2 linked regions of the Rhinolophus ferrumequinum genome follow. The protein of the gene in region 1 interacts with the protein of each later gene in a pairwise test. Links are inferred from orthologs where the notes say so. Each region holds a gene or a part of one and is shown on either strand. Other genes may lie near its edges. The genes, in order: BACH2 and BATF3.

Region 1 (9,380 bases):
AAAAATCTTTGGAAAAATCAGATGACGTGGCAACACAAACCCAACATTCCCACCCATTTGCACCTGGCAACAGTTGACAAAAAGAAGCTGAGACAAAGTAGTAGTTACCTGCCACTCCAGCCTATGCCCTCCTCCCTCACCAGGACCAGTGACACATGACAATGAAGAGCCCTGTGTTCAAGAATGATTAAGATTTCAAGGAGACAACAGCAGAAGATTAAACCAAGTGTGAGGTCCTTCTGAGCAGAGAGGGAGAGGGGGGCCTGTGTGATGGTGCAGGTCACGTGCCCGTGAAGCTGGTCCTGCTCCCCACCCCCTCAGCCAAACAGGAAGGGTATTTATTTATCTGAATATTCTGTCATTCATTCTGCGTCAAACCAGCATTTACAACAAGCCAGGCACCAAAGCCCCTGAAATCTGAGGTACAAAAACTAGGGCAGTGGAGACGGGCACAGCTAAGCTGGAGAGCCACTGGGATCGCTCTCTTCCCTTGTGAAGGCTGGATCCATACCAGGGTCACTAAGCACTACTTAATCCAAGTAAAATTAAACTGCTCCCAACAATAGATTGGCCTGAGCCCTTTTGTTGGCATCACAGGAGCCTCGATCACAAATTCTGAGGAATAGCTCGCAGCGCTAATGAGGAAGTCCTGTTGGCTGTGCAGACCGTGGTCCCAGAAGTGAAGGGGTGGCCTAGGAGAGATTTGAACATGAACCTGACCATCTGGCTCTCCCCGACTCATTTTGATCACAAAATGAATTGCAACAAATTGAAGAGCACATGGCCAGAGTTAATTGTCTCATCTGTAATCTGAACCTACTTTTAAGCAGTTATTATTACCCTCTATCAGGTGGAAACGTTTCCTACCATCACTGCAAAGTGCATTTTCCTGATGAACTGTAATGGATCATTAAATTCCATATCTGAATAGCAATACTCTGCACTTATGCAGTGCCTTTCATCCAGGGATTTCAAGGCAGTTTGCAAATAATTAAGCCCCTCACACAGCAGCCAGAGATGAGCCACTGGAAGGGACTTGCCTGAAGACACTGGGTCAAAGGCATAATTCAATAGAAAGAATAAATGGCTTCCTCCTAGGCACTAGTAATACTGAAAAGTGAATTGGGTGGGGGAGTCCTGACTCCCTCCCTCCCTTTCTGCCTTACTCCTTCCTCTCTATGGCAGATCCTCAAATGCAACAACATACAAAGAACTGAAAAGTAACTAACAGGGGTGTTCATAATTTAGCGATGAATTCAGATATACACATATATGAGGGGAATGTTTCTAGATATAATCCTGGCGTATACAATACAAACTGACATTTCAATCCACCTGCAGAATCCAAAGATACCAGAAGAATTAATTCAACACATTTATGATTACCAAATGGCAAACCTAAAGCCTTCCAAAATCCAAAATGAAAATACTGCTCTGCACAAATAATGTTCTAACAAAAACACTTTATTCCGTGGTTGTGAATTCCATTTCTGGGACCCCCCCCATTTCAATGCTTTTTAATTTTCCAGAATAGCAAATAGGATGGAAGTGGGCAATCAATGCATTCTTAAAACCAGAACACTAGAAAAACATTTCAGCCACTCAAAGTTTTGTGGTGAAATTATAAACTCCTGAAAAAAACTGAATTTATAATAGAAATGATGACAGATCTTTCACTGGAGCAGTTTGAATGCAACACTATAATTTAGCAATCTCTCTTACAGACTAAAGACTAATTCTAACAAGATGTCATTTTGACTCACGTTTATTATTACCTGCAAGAATGAAAAATGCCGTTTACTCGAGAGCTGTCGGAGAACCAGGGTGGGGCAATCTTACATTTTAAGCAAGACTTTTTCTGCCTTACCAAAATAGCCCTCTCCACCAGAAGTGGCAGCCAGCCTTTCATGCTCAGCTTCTTTCATGTCAGCCAGAGCCTTCGCAGCTCGACATTCCTTTCCTACACGTTACATTTTAATGATCTGAGAAAACCGTTATCAGAGTTTTAACATCTCTAATTTTACTCTAAATAGACAAAAGCAAAATATCTCATTTGGCATCATCTCCGCCAAGGTTCCCACCAGGCAGGAAAGGATTTTTATCTAAAGTAATTACCCTTTTTAGTAAAATACACTCAACAGATGAAATTTACACAGAGAGTGAGAGACTGCAGCACTAGACAGCGAAAGTGAAAACCCAGGAACGCCGTGGCTCGCTATCTGCCAGCGGTCCAGGAGTCTGTGGCACCCTCGTCTTTCTTGTTTCTCAGGGGCCACGGATCTCGCTGACCGCGAGCTGCAAAAGCGCGCTTTCTCCGGCCACAAACAAACCCAGCCTGACAGCGGCTGGGCCGGAACTTTCCCCAAGTTGTCAAAATCGCCTACACGTGAGAGGGAGCTGAGGATACCCCGCGTACCCACGACCCGGGAAGCCTGGGGGACGCGTCCCCCTTCACACACATACACCCGGCCCGGCCCGCTTCCTCCTACAGTCCGAGTTCCTGCAAACCCTCGGCCAGACCGAGGTCGCCGAGATGCTCACTAGAGTCCCCTCTTGCGGGCAGCTGGGGTAGTCCGTGAGCGCCGCCCGCCGCCCTCTCCAAGGGCGCTTGACTCCTGAGCACCCACCGGGTGAGAGAACTGCGAGACCCACCGCGCGCCTCCGCATGGGGAGGTAGAGAGGTGTCCTCTGGATAAACTCCTCTCCTTAGGTGGAGCTTCTGGGGCTTGGAGACTGAAGTGTGGAGAAGGAGAAGAGGATGGGTGTATGTGTGTGTTTGACTTTGATTTCATGCAGAATCTTGGGAGGAGGGATATGCAAGGTTCCCCTCTCTGCTGGCACGAGCCCCGCAGTTTGCCTTCCCAGAGACGCATTCCGATAACCCGGTCATTGGCTAGTAGGGATTCCAGCCAGCGCGCAGCCCGAGGTCGGCGCTGCAAGGCCCCAATCTGCCTCTTCCCCGGACTCTAAACTTGGGCTTTGATGTCCTGCCAGTCGCAGTGGTACCGACTCTCCTGCGGCGACTGACAGCTAAACGCAAAAGCGCGGCGGCCGGGGTCCTTGCAGCGCAGCACCGGGTGCTGACGCCGCGGTCGGGTTGGACGCGGTCTGGCCAGGCGCGGAGATCACGGTCTGGGGGCCGGGGCGCCCGGGCCTCTCCGGGCCCGGAGCCGGGCCGAGGGGTTGACAGCTGCTCCCGCTCGCGCGGACGCGCGCCTCCCTCCAGACCGCCCGCCCCACGCCTGACTTATTACCCTCCGCTCCTCCTCCCCCTACTGTTCCAAAACACTCGTCGACGCGAACAAAATACAATGCCGCCTCACCCGCGGTAAACAGCCAGGCGAGAGAGCGCACATTTGCCGCGGCGCGTCCGCCCGCCCGGCTCCCACCCCTTTCCAGTTCCTAGAAAATGCCATAAAAGCGGGCAGGGTGCTCAGCCGGCGGCTGCGCGCCGGCGATCGCGGCTCTCTTCCCGCGCCTCTTCCCCCACGCCTCCCCGCCCGCCCCGCTCACCCACTGCCCCCACAAACTTGCCCCGCCGCCCCGCCCGGCCCCGGAGCCCGGGGCGGGGGACTCACCTCACCAGAGAACTTTGCGTTCTTTTCCGCCTCCTCTTCCCTGCGTCTTCCCAGACCGCAGCCCCCTCCCGGCGGCCGGCGCGGTGGTCGGTTCGGGGGTCACCGAAAGCTCGAGGAGAGGACACGCATCACATGGCAGCTCGTTCCCAGTCCCCCGAGTGTGCCGGGAAGGGGGAGGGGAATGATCGAGGGGAGGCCGGGGAGAAAGCGAGAGCCCGGCGGCAGCGGGAGTGGGCAGGCGGATGGCGAGGGCGGCGGCGGGCGCTCACGTTAGCGCTGCTGCGATCGCAGCCCGGGCGTGCACGATCGCTGCTGCTACGGCTGCTGGTGGTGAGGCGGCGGCGGCTCGGCGCTGTTTGCTCCGCGCAGCGCAGCTCGCGCTCTCCCCGGAACGCCCACACTCTCAATCGCTACATTGTTGACATTCGGCGCTGACGTCACCCGCTCCCCATTCACAATAACTTTACGGGAGCCGGGCAGCGCACCTCCCCGGCCGCTGGGGCGCCGTACGCCTGGCGACTAGCGTAAGTCGCTCCGCGAATGGCGCTCCGGGGGCTGGGGCTGGGGCGGGGGGCGAGGGCGGGTGCGCGCGCTCAGCCGGCTCGCGGGAGGGGGCGCGCCTCACCCAGCCGCCGCCGCTGCCGCTCTCCGGGCTTTGTGCGGCCATGCGGCCTAGAGAGCCCCCTGCTCCCGGCCCAGCTGACCGCCTGACTCCGTCCGGCCTGGCCCGGGACTCGCAGGGGCCTTGAAAGGCAAGGGCTGGGGTCCAGTGGGGTGTGGGGACGTTGTGTGGTGAGGGCTGGTGTGGCACGTGGGGAGGGGGGCAGAGCCCAGGACACTACACCTAGGAAGGGGAGCCAGACCTCCAGATCTGGGATTCTTGCGTTGTCTAGCATTTCTCAGGAAGAGCAAGAAAAGATGCTCCAGGGCCCCCACAAAGCTGACCCGGCCCCCTTTTGGGTGGAGATGGGGCGAAGAAGAATAGCTTCCGACCCACTAGCGATGTTGACATTTGAATCCTTTTGGAGGGGCTCGGCCTGTCCCACTGAGTGAATCTCTAAGTCCCCACACCAGGATTTTAGAAGGGGCGCAGAAAAGCCACTCTCCCCAGCTTCAGCCCCAGTTCCTACTGGGTTCCAGCCTTTCCCCTGCCTCTCACTCTGGAGGCTGCCAGGGTGTTGCTGCTGCATTTTAAGGCCATCGTGTGGCTGTCCTGTCAGAAGGAAAGCTTGATCGTGGTTAGGATTTTACAGAAAGTAATTAGGACTTAGACTGAACGAACATTTGCTATAAAAGAAGGTTGTGTTAGAGTAGTGCTGGTGCCTGCAAATTTACCCCTGCGAAGGCCAGGAAATTCTGCCACGTTTCCCTGAACACCTATAACTTGGCCCCCTTGTGTACAGGCAGTATTCCATATTATTACATGTGGTGCTGATTTTTAATGAATATTATAAAACTTTGGCTCGCTCTACTGAGAGAAAGATCATAAATCCCCCCCTCCCCTGTAAAATGGGCACTGGCATATGCTGAGGAAGCAGTGAAGCATTGCCCTGGGAGTCTTGTGATATCAGCTAAAGTGTTGCTCTGAACCACCTTCGTTTGAGGGCAGAGTTTTAGAAGGCCCAGTTTTGAATGTCTGTCCGGAAAGCTAAGAGATGGTGGCAAGGAAGCTGAAAGGGCCAAGCTCATTTTTCTAACAGTATTGCAGAGCCTCAACCTGTATTGTAGCTCTAGAACCATGCTGGGAGATTTTCTTTGCTAGCCTCTCCAGTGTTCAGATGAAGAAAAGTCTCAGACCTAGGAGCAGTCCTAGGTCTGCTGACTTTGGGTCTGGTGCCCTTTTTGATGAAACACTCTGCTTCTGAGGTCCCTGTCTGGCCCCCTAATAAGGACAGAATACTGATCCTTGGTCTGCCCTGGTGGGGCCATTTCTTATCATCTGATGGATGGTGAGTTTCTGTATTCCTTATTCTCGTAAGTATGCGAGTGTCAATATGATAACTTAATGCATTTTAATAAGCACCACTACATGTTTTTCTCACAAGAGCCAGGCTTGAGAAAATCCCTATGAGGGTCATGTAAATTCATTTGATTTCAAGCGGGCCGTGGCTGCCCAGCTGCAAGTGGAGCTGGGCACATCATCTTCGGGTGGGGGTGGGAGTGGGGGAGCTGCTGCTGCAAGCTGACCTTGCCACCTTGCTTCTGGTCCCAGATGGATATAATAAAGGCTATGTGGTCATTTCAATTTGTCTATTTTTCAAAGACTCAAACCGGAGCTGTTTTAGTTTGAAATTCTCAAGTATGAGATAAAAGTATGGGATAGCAATTAGAGAGGAAAAAAACCGAATGTGGCTGTGATCGATTATATTATCTACTCATTCAAGGAGGTTTGATTAGAACTAGTTGACCTCTAAGGTCACATCCAATACTGCAATCAGGTGTCTCTGTGGCTGTGAATATGACAAAATCTTGCCTTAGAGGAGCTTGCAGTCTAGTAGGGAATTATTTTATTTTCAATAGTTAGAAATGGGTTATTTGGATTAAATCCTGTAAAACATACACAGGATTGTATGAAATGAGGATCGTAAGTCAAGCACTGGACATTCTTTTAACAGGATGACTGGAGAGGTGAGGCTGTGGCTGGCCTAGCACCTTCCTCGAGAATGTGCGTTGGCCATTCCCTAGGTATGTGGTGCCCCGGTGGGCACTTCAGGCATTTACAATGCGAAACAGATGCAGGCCCTTCCCTCTGTGTCTTCCAGGCAGTAACTTGAGGAGAGGTCCACTCATTTCCCAGGCCTGCAACATCCAGCCTTCTCTGATACACTTTTTCTTTTCCTACCTAATTACATGTGTGTGTTGGTCTGGAATATGGGCTTCATCTGTGGTACATTTCTAAGCAGGATCTGATTTCCAGGGACCATTACATTGTACCACAGAATTGAAGTCAGTAAACTTTATTTCTATAAATCACCTTGAGCTTATAAAATAGGAAAAATTAAAATATACCAGAAACAAAAATGAGGAAAGGAAGACAGAAGAAAGAAGGAAGCAGTTCTTGGGTCTTAGATGTTTTCATCCCTCAGCATCCTGGTACAGTATCTGATGATGTTGAAAAGATACATTGGTTTTTCTTAGGCAGAATTAGGGTTTCCAGGCGGGAATTCCCGCCAGTTCTCAGGAAATGTTTTTGGCTTTCCTGTTCCCGAATCCCGAGATACAAACTGTTTTCTGTTCTCCACAATGAATCGTTTCCACAAATACTACCGGTTGGCCGATACTACCAACCACCTGGGTTCAAAGAGCCGAGTTGCCCGATTTCCTGACCAACTTTTCTCAGAATTTGGGAATGGGAAAGTGAAAATAATTCACGAGAATGGGTGGGAATTCCCGCCCTGAAACCCTAGGCGGAATTTTAAATGTGGTACTTTGAATGAGACATAGCAGGGCAAAGTTAACATCCAATGAGAGAGAATGGAACGGGATGTTTAGATGGAGAATGCCAAAGCCAGGAGGAGTCAATTACTGAAGGAAGGTCCGTTAAGAAGAAACTGAATTCTACTCATTGGGCAAATTCCTCGGAATTACAACTAAAGTTTATTATTTGAAAACGAGATGTCTTGAAGTGTATACCTAAACCATAAAGCCTCAGTACTGCACAGGTGACATTTAGGAGAACTGAGGAAATTTGAATAGCTTAGAGTGGTGATTTGTTCAACAATTGTTGAGCCATCTATTGTGTGGCAGATGCTATTCTATAAGCTTCGAGGTAGAAGTCTCTTTCTAGTAATAAGATTGGGATGGGGAGGGAGACAGACAATGGGCTTCTCCTCTCTCTCTCTCTCTCTCTTTTTCTATATAGATAGATAGATAGATAGATAGATAGATAGATAGATAGATATGCATACCTAATATAGTATGTATAATACCTGGAAGTGAAGAGTGCTGTGAAAGCAAATAAAGTAGGTGAAGGAGCTCAGGCGTGATGGGTGGTGCCATTCTTAGGATGATTGGGTCAGGGAAGATCTCCCTGATGAGAGGACATTTGAACAGAGATGTGAATGAAGTGAGGGGCAAGCTCTGCAACTATCTTGGGAGAAAGGTTTTCAGATATTGAGAAGAGCCAGTGCAAAGGCCCAGAGGTAGAGTGGACTTGGCATGCTCCAGGTGAGACTAACAGGAGATGATGCCAGAGGGATAGCCAACAGCTTTATATTTCGGTGAAACTGGAAGACATTTATAAGGGTTTCTGCAGAGAAAGGACATGACCTGGCCTTATCTCCTGAAAGATCATTCTGTTTGCTAAGTGGAAGGGAGTACAAGAGTAGAAGCACAGGGACCAGGTAGAAGTTATTGAGCTAGGCGAAAAGAGAGGTGATGGTAATTTGGACTACATGGTAGCTATAAATGGAATCTAGATATATATTCAGACTAAACCAGACAGGACTTGCTGACTCAATTGTAGGATGTGAGAGAAAGAAGAGTCAAAGGAAATTCTGGATTCTAGCCTGAACAGCTGATTGATAGAGATTCCACTTACTGATACGGAGAAGGCTATAGGGGGAGCAGGTAAGGGGGTGGGGGGAGCTCAGGGGTTTGGGTTTGGATATAGTAAATTGCTGATGCCTATGAGACATCTCAGTGGAAAAGTTGATTAGGCAATTAAACACGGGAATCTAAACTTCAGGAGAGAAGTCCAGACTCTAAATAGAAATCTGTGTGTCATCAGCATAGAGAATCTGGGAACATAGGTGGAGAAGAGTTCTGAGGAGTGAGACCTGGGGCACTCTAACATTTAGAGGTCAGAAGATGAAGAAAATAGAGACCTGGCCAAGGTGGCTGAGAAACAGCAGCCAGTAAGAGAAGGGGAGACGGGAGTGTAGCTTTCTGGGGTCAAGTAAAAGAGAATGTTTTGAGAAGCAGAGAGTAACTGGTTGTGTCAATGCTGCTGATGGGCCATCTCATAAGTAAGATGAGGGCACATCACTGACTTTTAAATTTGGTATCTGACAGAGAGGAGTGCTAGGGACAAACCCTGGCTGGAGTGGATTTGGGGGTGGGGGGAGCAGGACGAAGGGGAGGCAATGGGTGTAGGCCACTCCTTAGAGGAGCTTTGCTGTGAAAGAGAAAATAGGGAAGTGAGCCGAGGGTCATGGGAGAAATTAGAGTTCATTGCTGGGAATAAGCCTATCAAGAGGGAAAACCGTTGATGTAAAGAGGGGGGATAACTTCTGGAGTGATGTTCTTAGTCAGAGAATGGAACTTATTTAAAGGGTGGGGCCAGTTGGTCCATAGCAGCAGGAGGTAAGTTAGGGTGGGGGTGGGCAGGGAGGCTGGTTTGTGGTGAGGGGAAATGCAGAGGGTCCTTGTCTGGGGGATTCTGTTTGCTCAGTAGACTGAGAAGCGAGCTCATCAGCTGGTGGTGGAGAAGGGTGTGGGAGTTGGAGGAGAGAGAAAAGGTGTGGACTAGTGCAAGGTGATAAAGCAGGACTGCTGGGGAGCACAGAGGAAATTTGAGGGTTACTATTAGAGTCTTTATGGGCATTCCACTGCCAAGAAGAGTCATTTCTCATTGCATAAAATCTTGCACAAGTTTTGAAAAATTATCAGTGTATTCCAAACTAGAGAGCACTGTAATTTTCCAGAGTAATTAGAATCACACAAAAATTTTACTCCTGGCTATTAATTTAGCTGGCAGCCTTTTTTATTTTAACTACTCACCTCTCTTATTTTTCCCATCTCTATCTCCCCCAAAGATCATCCCAGTTCCTAAGAAGGACTTTGGAAACAGTCCTTAAGAGG
Region 2 (8,926 bases), on another chromosome or scaffold:
TCAGTCTTTCCATGTGGTGGTTGAAATTTGATTTAAAAATACGGAGATAATTTTTTTCAGCCTCACAACACATTATTGGTAACGTCATGTAATTTTTCAGAATTGTCAGATTTGGAAAAACCTCCAGGTCTTTTCACATGTGAGATGTAGTATTTCAGGAAAGTTATGTTTTTTTTTTTTGCCAGTGATTCATCTTAAGTATTCTGAGAATCTATGACACTCATTAACCAATTTGTTAACCAGTTTCTTACGGATGTTCTCACTGTAGTGGCATGTTGTCCTCATGAATGTCAACATTTCAGATAAGAGAAGCAAGAATTGCAAATGGTTTTCCATTGTGTTTGTATGATCGATTCTGCCTCGTTATCGGATAATCAGACAATACAAGAGCTTGTCCATTGCTTTTGTATGACATTGATCTCTTCTGACTAAATGAATTATTGCTTCTAGCATAATCTGAAATTTGTTTTTACAGTTTGCTGATTGATGTCAGAACATTTTCTACTGATTTTAATTTATCTTTATCTCTTTTTTTAACATTTCATTAATTTTACATATTTTTTCTCTGTCTTTAAATATATAAATGAAATTAGAGATGACAAAGGATTTGTTCGCCCTTCATTTACGAACAAATCAGGAGTCTGTACTTTCTAGCTTTTACTGAAAATGTTCCAGAACGTATTTCCAAAGAGCAGCTAAAATGTCATATTCAAGCTTTATGAAATATGCCACTCCCACTAACAAAGAAAATACCCTTTACGATACATTTATAATTGCATACGCTGAATTTTTTATTTCATTCCTGGCAGGTGAGAATGCTGTTTTGACGAGACGTAAACAACTAAATCCTCTGCTTACAATTTTACATGTGTGACGATCTGAACAATTTGCAGAGATTAGCTTCTGGGGTTGTATATTTCAAACCTTCTTTCTCCTCTGCCATCCTAATAGGCAACACCAGGTCTCAGGACAATGTCCCTTGTCAGGTGAGTTAGCATGGTGGGCAGTAGGAATATCCTGCCATGCAACTAGCAATAAATGGTTCTAGATAGAAGTGACTGCGAACCATATATATATGGTGTGTGTGTATACATATACACACACACATATACGTGTATATCTGATTAACCTTCCTTTGCAAGCTCCTCCCAAATGCCCACAGCTACTTCAACACTACCAGACCTGAAGGGACTGAGAGGAAGTTGGGGTAAAAAGAGACAGTGGTCTTAGCCATTTTGGTTAAAATGTTCCACGTTTGCAAATTTTATTTCAATCTTTCCCCATGTGAACACTGCTCGGGCCTCTTCTGGGCCTTGAAAGGGGCCTGGATGTGAGGGGTCTTAAAGCTTTGCTCATTGACTTCCTGGCAAATTTGCCTCAGCCTCCAAAGCTCTCACCATCATCTCAGCCCTCTCTCCTGAATTGTTTCCATCGCCTGGTGGCCCTGCATGACCCGGCCCATTGACTGTCTGACCTCATGTCTTGGTATCCAGTGCTTCCTCACTCTCCTCCAGCCTCCTACAGCTTCTGGAATAGCCAGGCACGCTCCCAAGGGGGTCTTGCCTTTACTGTTCCTGCAGCCTGGACTTCTCCTCCCAGATAGTGGCATGGCTCCCTCTTTCACCTCCTTGTTGACCTCCCCTCACTACTCAATATTTCTTGTCCCTGCTTTATATTTCTCCAAAGAATGTATCACAATCTGAATACTGTGTTTTGTCTATTGTCTGCCTCCTCTAGAATGTGACCTCCATGAGGTGCAGGTCTTCGTTCTGTTCACTGCCATGTCCCAGTGCCGAAAACAGTGCCTGACACATGACTGATTTTTGGTAAATGCAGGGATCTCTGCCTTAACCTTTCCTTTCTCTAGCCCTACCAGAAGTCCACAGGAGCACCTTCTGAGAAAGGTCAGTGAAAGTACACTTACTGGATGGCCACTTTCCCTCAAAGAGAAGAGCAAAGGTGAAATAGTGGCAGGGTTTTTTAGCATTTGAGCAAATGGCATTTATAAAGAACCATCTTCTTGTGAAGTGAATCACCAGAGGATTTGATCACTGACCTGCACCTCCTCCTGCTGTCCTGGAAGATGTAATCCAGGGTCACTGTGGTAGTCACAGGAAATTGCCAGATCATGTAATATAATTTCTCTTCCCAGTTCAAAGGAAAAAACACAAATCAAAAGAAAAGGCAGAAGAAGGAGACATTTAAAATGTTTATTGTTGTTTATCTTTTCATTTTTCTTTCTTCTTCTGACCTAGAATAAAATGAACCAGAAAATATTACAGAAAAGCAAGAAAAACAGGCTGTTATTAGAGCATCCCACTTGGTCAGAGAAGTGTTGGCATTCTGGTGTCACAAAAGAGCTTAGTGCCAGGGAAAGCAATATCACCTGTAAATATTAAATGTTTTAAGATGCTAATGTAATACAACATTTTCCAGATAGTTTAAAAAAGACAAGTAAAAGCAATTATAATCCCTCCACCATGACAAGTAAGTTAGTACTTTGGTGTATTCTTTTCTAATTTTATTCTCATATGCATACACTTTCTCACTGTGGTAAAAAATACACAACATAAAATTTACCATCTTAACCATTTTAAAATGTATAGTACAGTAGTATTTTGCATACATTTTTATATACGTTATATGTATACTCTTTGTATGCTGCTTTTTTCCCCTCACTTTACCTCATATCAAATAAATCTTACAGGTGGCAAATTTGTCTGCATGCTTGGAATTTTAAAGATGTATAATATCCTATCACATGGCTATAACATTTTATTCAGCCATTCACCTATAATTGGACATTTATGCTGCTTACAATTTTTCACTTTTCAAAATATTATGAACTTTTAGTGCATATACTATTTTTCTCTTTACTATTTTTGATGATATTCCTAGGATAATTTTCTAGATGTTTTCTAGGGAAAACAAAGTCAAGAGTGATGACTCTTGCATGGTTCTTAAAAATTACAATAAAATTGCTTTCCAGTAGGTTTGTATCAGTTTACAATGATGCCAATGAAATATGAGAGTACCAATTTCACCATACTCTCACCGACATTTGTTACAATCTTTTATTTTGTTAATGTAATATTTTTAAAGGTTTTATTTTTCTTATATCTATTTTCCTTGATCATTTCTTCTGTTGAGAAATGCCAGTTCATGTCACTTGTGCATTTTACTTTTGGGAGGTTGTTTTGATATTTTTCTTGTTCCTTTTCATGGGCTATATACACACTTGAGATTTTAACCCTTTATCATATTTACTGTGCTCCCCCCTGAATGGGTTTTTAATTTTGGGTCATACTGTCATCTAAAGCAATTTAACATTCTTATATGGTTCAGATCTTTCCAATGTGATTTCTCCTACCACATGATATCTCAGAAAACTCTTTCCAGGGTATCTCGGGGCTTTAATAAAGAATTGAATTCTGTTTTACCTTCCTAATTTTATTTTCTATATTTAATTATTTAATCCATTCATTTTGATGTATGATAGGAAGGTCAAATTGATCTGTTCCTTAAATGCTAACTAGTTAACCAAGACTCCTCCTTTACATATATTTGAAGGAACACTTGAATAACTAAGACAGTAGTTATGAAGAGTTTTTGTGTGCTGGGGCATGGTTTCAGGCCCTGCGGGAAGCCAGGTGGAAGGGACAGCCCCAAAGGACTTAGAACGCACTTCAGCTCCTTGAGAAAAGTGGCGATAACCAGAATGAAGTGTGGGACTGCACCTAAATGTCTTTTCCTTTCAAAATCATAAACACTGGAGGAATGAAAGCACTTCTGAAAATTAAAGACCACTTGACCCAGAGGTCTTCCTATCTTGTTAGAGTCCGTGTAAGTTTCCAAGACTTAGGGCTCTCAGTTGACCTGCAATAAACTTACTGAGCATGCAGGTGTGGAGTGCTGTGCTAGGCACGTTGTGTGTGCCTGTGTGGGACGCAAAGTAATCGCTCTGGGGCGACGACGAGTTATGTAGAGTGATGCCAAGGATCAAAGGAAGATGAGAAGATAAATCTAGGCAGATAACCGAGTATAGAGATGGCTCCGTTGTGCAGCGTTGATGGTGTGGGGAAGACACTGTCACTATAAAGAGTTATGCCCACCCTCTGTCCTCCCCTGCCTCTCACCTCCACTCTCCGCTGAGTTGGTGGAAGCCCCTGCCCACACAGACAAGATTCGCCACTTTCTTTCCAATGCTGGGCCAGGCAGCCAAGTTCACACAAGCTGCGTTTCACAGTTTTTGCAAGGGTCTTAAATCCTGGTGGAGAGCCACGTGCACGAGACTCAGAATCAGAAGTGCCCGCCCTTATCCCCGTTGCTCCCCGGAGCCTGAAAACTCAAGTGACCACGTTGGGATGGCACGTGACAAGAGGAGTCAGTGCTCCCTCAGCAAGGCCCTGGGGCGCGGGTGGCCCTCACGGCGCGCTGTGGGCTCAGTGAAGCCGATGGCCCTCTTCCCTGGACTGCGCCTCCAGGGCGGGGGGCCCGAGGGCTGCGGGAGGAGTGAGAGTGGCGCCGGGTGACAGATCGCCGCGGAGAAAGTCCCCCAGGACTGTGACCCCTGCGCTGGGGGGAGGCGGGGCCAATGCTCAGGAAGATGTAGTGAAGAAACCACCAACCCCAAACCACCCACTTGTGTTTCTCACCCTGAGTTCCCCGAGAGCAGTCCTGGACCCCACAGGCTGCACTGCGCCCCCCTGACCCCCAACCTCCCCAGCGTCGCCTCCTGTGGGTGGGCTTCGAGTTCCCTCCAGGTTTCGGAACCACCACGTGACTTCCACGAAGAGCTGGGGGCCCCAGCGGAAAGCTGCGACAGGGGTGGGATTTGGGACCCCGACGTGCGGCAAGAGGAGGAAATGAGGCGGGTTGGGAGAAGGAGGGGGCGGGGCAGACTTGGGGACGTGAAGGACCGCAGGCTGGGACGGGGGTGGTGAAGCCGGGAAGACGCGCAGCGGCAGCACCAGCGCCGAGAGCGGGAAGCCCTAGGGGCGGGGCGGGGGCCTGGCGGTCTGCAGGTGCGGGCGCGAGGATGCCCGTGGCTGGAGAGCTCCGGTAGGCAGCGCCCCGCGTGCAGGGCGCGGCGGGCCGCGCGGCCGCTCCTCCGCGAGGCTGCGCGGCGGGGGGGCCGGACCCGAGGAGCACCCGGCATGTCGCAAGGGCTCCCGGCTGCCGGCAGCGTCCTACAGAGGAGCGTTGCGGCTCCTGGGAACCAGCCGCAGCCGCAGGTAGTGAACTAGAGGCTCAGGGAGGGCGGCAGGGATGCGGGGATCCGGCATCGGGGAGGGCGAGGAGGTGGGTACTGGGGTCCCGGAGTGCTGACGCTGAGTGCGGGAGTGGGGGCGCGAGAGCGGTCCAGGGGCGTACGCATGGTACCCGCGGCGTCCGGGATGGTGACCCGGCTCCTGTGTCTGGGCAGGAGAGACCCGAGGAAGCCGAAGCCTGGCTGGGTTCCGCACGGTCCACATTCCCCAGCACGCGTGGCCAGCGCTGCCCCAGGTGCCGCACTATCCGCTTGCTGCCGCCTTCGCGTGTGGCCCTTCCCGGGAGCTCCGAGTGAGGGCCAGGGCGTGGAGAGGGGAAATTCAGCCCGAAGGGGCAACTCAACCCAGGCACTCCCAATATCTACCCTCCTGCTGCCTGAATGGGGAACTCAGGACCGAACAGCCTAGGGATGCGGGGTGGGGGCCTGCAGTGCGTGGACTCCACCCCCAGCGCTGGTGGAAACCCCTCGCCTGCAGCCAGTCCTCTGCGCTGTCCCGGCAACCTTTACAACTGCGTGGTCTGGAAACTGGAGACAATGTTGCCAGCAGGTTGTGCTGTCAGAGACTTCCCACCCAGGTGCCGCAGGACTGAGTTTTTCCTCGTTATGTCCCCCTTCTCAGTTCGGTGCCTGGCATAGAGCGTCATCAGGTGATGCTAGAGCCCCACAGATCTGAGTTTGGACCTCGGTTTTGCCACACAGGCTGAGTAGCCTCGGGCACTTTGCTTAACCTCTCGGAGCCTGCGTTTTCCCACACGTAAAATGAGTACATATAATAATACCAGCCTGTCATGATTTTTGTGAGGAGTAGTTGAGATATGGTTAATAATATATGAATATCTCAACACTTTGCTCCCCTATTTCTGTCTTGATAAATGTTTCTGCTGGGTTGTCAGGTGGGGCCATATGATGATGATGATCCAGTTTAGAGTGTGGGCTCCCAGAAGGCAGGCTGCATTGTGCCCTATGACTTTCCAATTATGAAAAACAAAGAGGTACCATTTGGAGACAAGCACGGGTGGGCAGGACTCAATACAAAAGGACAGCAACCTCAACAGAGGTTATTGATGGCATATGTGTACTGGGAGCTTTAAGATAAAGTCTTGTTTTATCTCATGCCAAACCTCAAACTTTAGGCTGTGGAGAGTACTTACCAGTTTGTTCCAGGCACTATCTCCAGTGCCTGGCACATGGCAGGTACTCAGTTGACACTATTGAAAGAATAATGAATCACACTTACAATAAATGAGAAAACAAAATTCAGAGAATGTGGTCCCCAAGGCCATATTGACAGTAGAAGACTAAACCAGGAGCTGTGTTATTTCTAAAGCTAAAGTTTTGTCCTCTATACCACATTTCCCCCCTGTGGTGTTCTGGTTCTGTTTATCAAAATTACGTTTCCTCTGAAAGACTACATTGTAACACCTTGTGTCTGTTCCCTTAACTGTCTCCAGGCCTCTTTTATACATTATGCTATTTATGTACATGTCATTTACTCTTCTCCTTTTATAGCCTTGTAGTCCTTGCGTATGCTGAAAATTCTTTCCCTGCAGTAACTTGGGGAGATAGTATGTGTCTCTCTTATTTGGAATACAAGACCAGATAAAGTGATAACTGAAAATATCCATTATTTTATGTTATCAGTGTTTGCTTTAAATTAACATTAATAATTGAATAGCTTTCCTATGTTTGTATTCTACTAACCTCTTGGCTTTTGAATGCTTTAAAGGTAGTTTTCTCCACGTGCCCCTCTTGGTATCTTCTCACAGTTTTCTGGAAGGCAAATGCTACTTTCCTCTCCATGTTTTCTATAACTGAAGGAAGTGTTTTTACCATGGTAGGTGCATTTTGCTGCCTGCCTGTTTCAGGACAGATAACTCTTGGAGGATTTGACTAGATTTGGCTACATCTCATATATATATATATATATATAGCTAAGGGCTTTTAAGATACATCATGAATTTGTTTTCTGATTTGCTCTGACCTGTGAAACAAAATGTCAATCAATCATAGTCCAAATGAGCATATTGTCAGTGGTGTTCAATCATTCGCTGTGCTGGTAGAGTCATGTGGTTACAGTGAGTTATAAGTGTAGTCGCGATCTATACACAGTATCTAAAGTACCTGTTTTGTGTGTGGTGGCGTAAGACCTGGCACATGGCGAGTTGCAGATAGCAGACGGCTTCTGCCTTTTCCATTCTCAGATGAAAAGCACTGACACCACAGCTCTTCCAGGCACACGCCCTGTGGGGTAGGGGTTTATGAACGTTGGTTTGGAGCCCAACAGACCTGAGTTCCACTTCCCATTCACCCACTTACTAGCTGTAGTACCTGGAGCAAGTCCCTTAACCTCTCTGAGTTTCTTATTCCTCATCTTTTAAATGGCAGCCACTCCACATGTTTCTCAGGGTGATCGTAGGGAATAACAGCTAGGTGAACTCATGGGGAGTGCTGCTTAACAAGGGCCACTGTTAGCTACCTCGCTGATGTAGCACCAAGCGCTGCTGTGACTGCAAATAAAAGGGTGAAGACTATGAGCAATGCTGAGTGAAGAGACCAGGCAAACGGGTGAGGCGAAGGACCTCCATTCACTCCTGACCACACATTCCCCCCCAGAGCCCAGACGACGATGACAGGAAGGTCCGAAGGAGAGAAAAAAACCGAGTTGCTGCTCAGAGAAGTCGGAAGAAGCAGACCCAGAAAGCTGACAAACTCCATGAGGTGAGACTGAGGTGGGGGCAGAGCCACGTGAGGGCCCCCGGCGAGGGCCCCCTCCGTCCTTGCACTTTGATAGTGGCCCTGAGCTCACTTCCTGGTCATCACCAATTTGGCCATGTGCACGTCTAATTCTGCTGCATCCTTCCAGCCCAGCGTTATGATTCTTCGCTGACTGGCCTCTTGATTTCTCCCTCACCCACTAGTTGCGTCTCACACTCACATTTCGTTCATTATAAAACAAACCATACCAAACCTGCTCTTGATCCGATTTCCTTTCAAGCTAGTGCCCATTTCTTTTCTTTCCTTCCGTCAGTTCCCTGCTCCTTATAGAGGGATTTGCTTTCTCTATGGCCTCCGTTCCCGTGTATTCTTCAGTCCTCTGTGATTTTGTTTCTGCCCTTTCCCCACCAACACACACACACACACACACACACACACACACACACACACACAATCCTACAGAAGCTGCTCCCACTGAGTCCGCTCGTGCCCTGGCATTGCCCGAATCAGGGAACTTGTTCTAGTCTCGTCATCCTTCACCTCACTGGAACATTGGATGCCATTGACCTTCCCTTCTTGAAACCTTCTTTCAAGGTCTTTAGCTTCTAAAAGACCACATGTCCTACTTCTCCTGACCCTCTTAAAAAGCAGTCACTTTTTTTCTCAGTTTCTTTGTTAGATTTTTCTACCTCTGTTTCTTTAAATGTTGTTGACCAGGGTTTCAGACTCTTCCCTTTATCCTTCTCACCATGGAAAATTTAATCTATAAGTCTGTTCTCCCAACATCAATTATGTCAGGCAGGACCGCTGTTCTAGCCCTCACGCCATACCTCCGGTGTTTCCAAATGGGTCTGCTTGCTGCAGGCTCCTCAGATGCAACATAGTCATAATAGAGGATTGTTACTCCTGAGATGTTCTATTCCTACGGTCTTCAATTTG

Evidence for each region.
Region 2: the proteins of BACH2 (region 1) and BATF3 interact in binary tests that used the Homo sapiens proteins (3 or more experiments, as listed by UniProt). The link is inferred for Rhinolophus ferrumequinum from reciprocal best matches to the Homo sapiens genes BACH2 and BATF3.

Annotation. Positions count from the first base shown.
Region 1 is NC_046286.1:46,785,403-46,794,782, forward strand, and holds the start of BACH2 (transcription regulator protein BACH2), read right to left. Parts: upstream 4,057-9,380; 5' UTR 3,579-4,056; intron 1-3,578. UniProt on the Homo sapiens protein: Transcriptional regulator that acts as a repressor or activator. Binds to Maf recognition elements (MARE). Plays an important role in coordinating transcription activation and repression by MAFK.
Region 2 is NC_046305.1:19,655,953-19,664,878, forward strand, and holds the start of BATF3 (basic leucine zipper transcriptional factor ATF-like 3), read left to right. Parts: upstream 1-4,954; 5' UTR 4,955-5,156; coding exon 5,157-5,234; exon of another isoform or gene 5,235-5,268; coding exon of another isoform or gene 5,269-5,301; intron 5,302-7,885; coding exon 7,886-7,990; intron 7,991-8,926. UniProt on the Homo sapiens protein: AP-1 family transcription factor that controls the differentiation of CD8(+) thymic conventional dendritic cells in the immune system.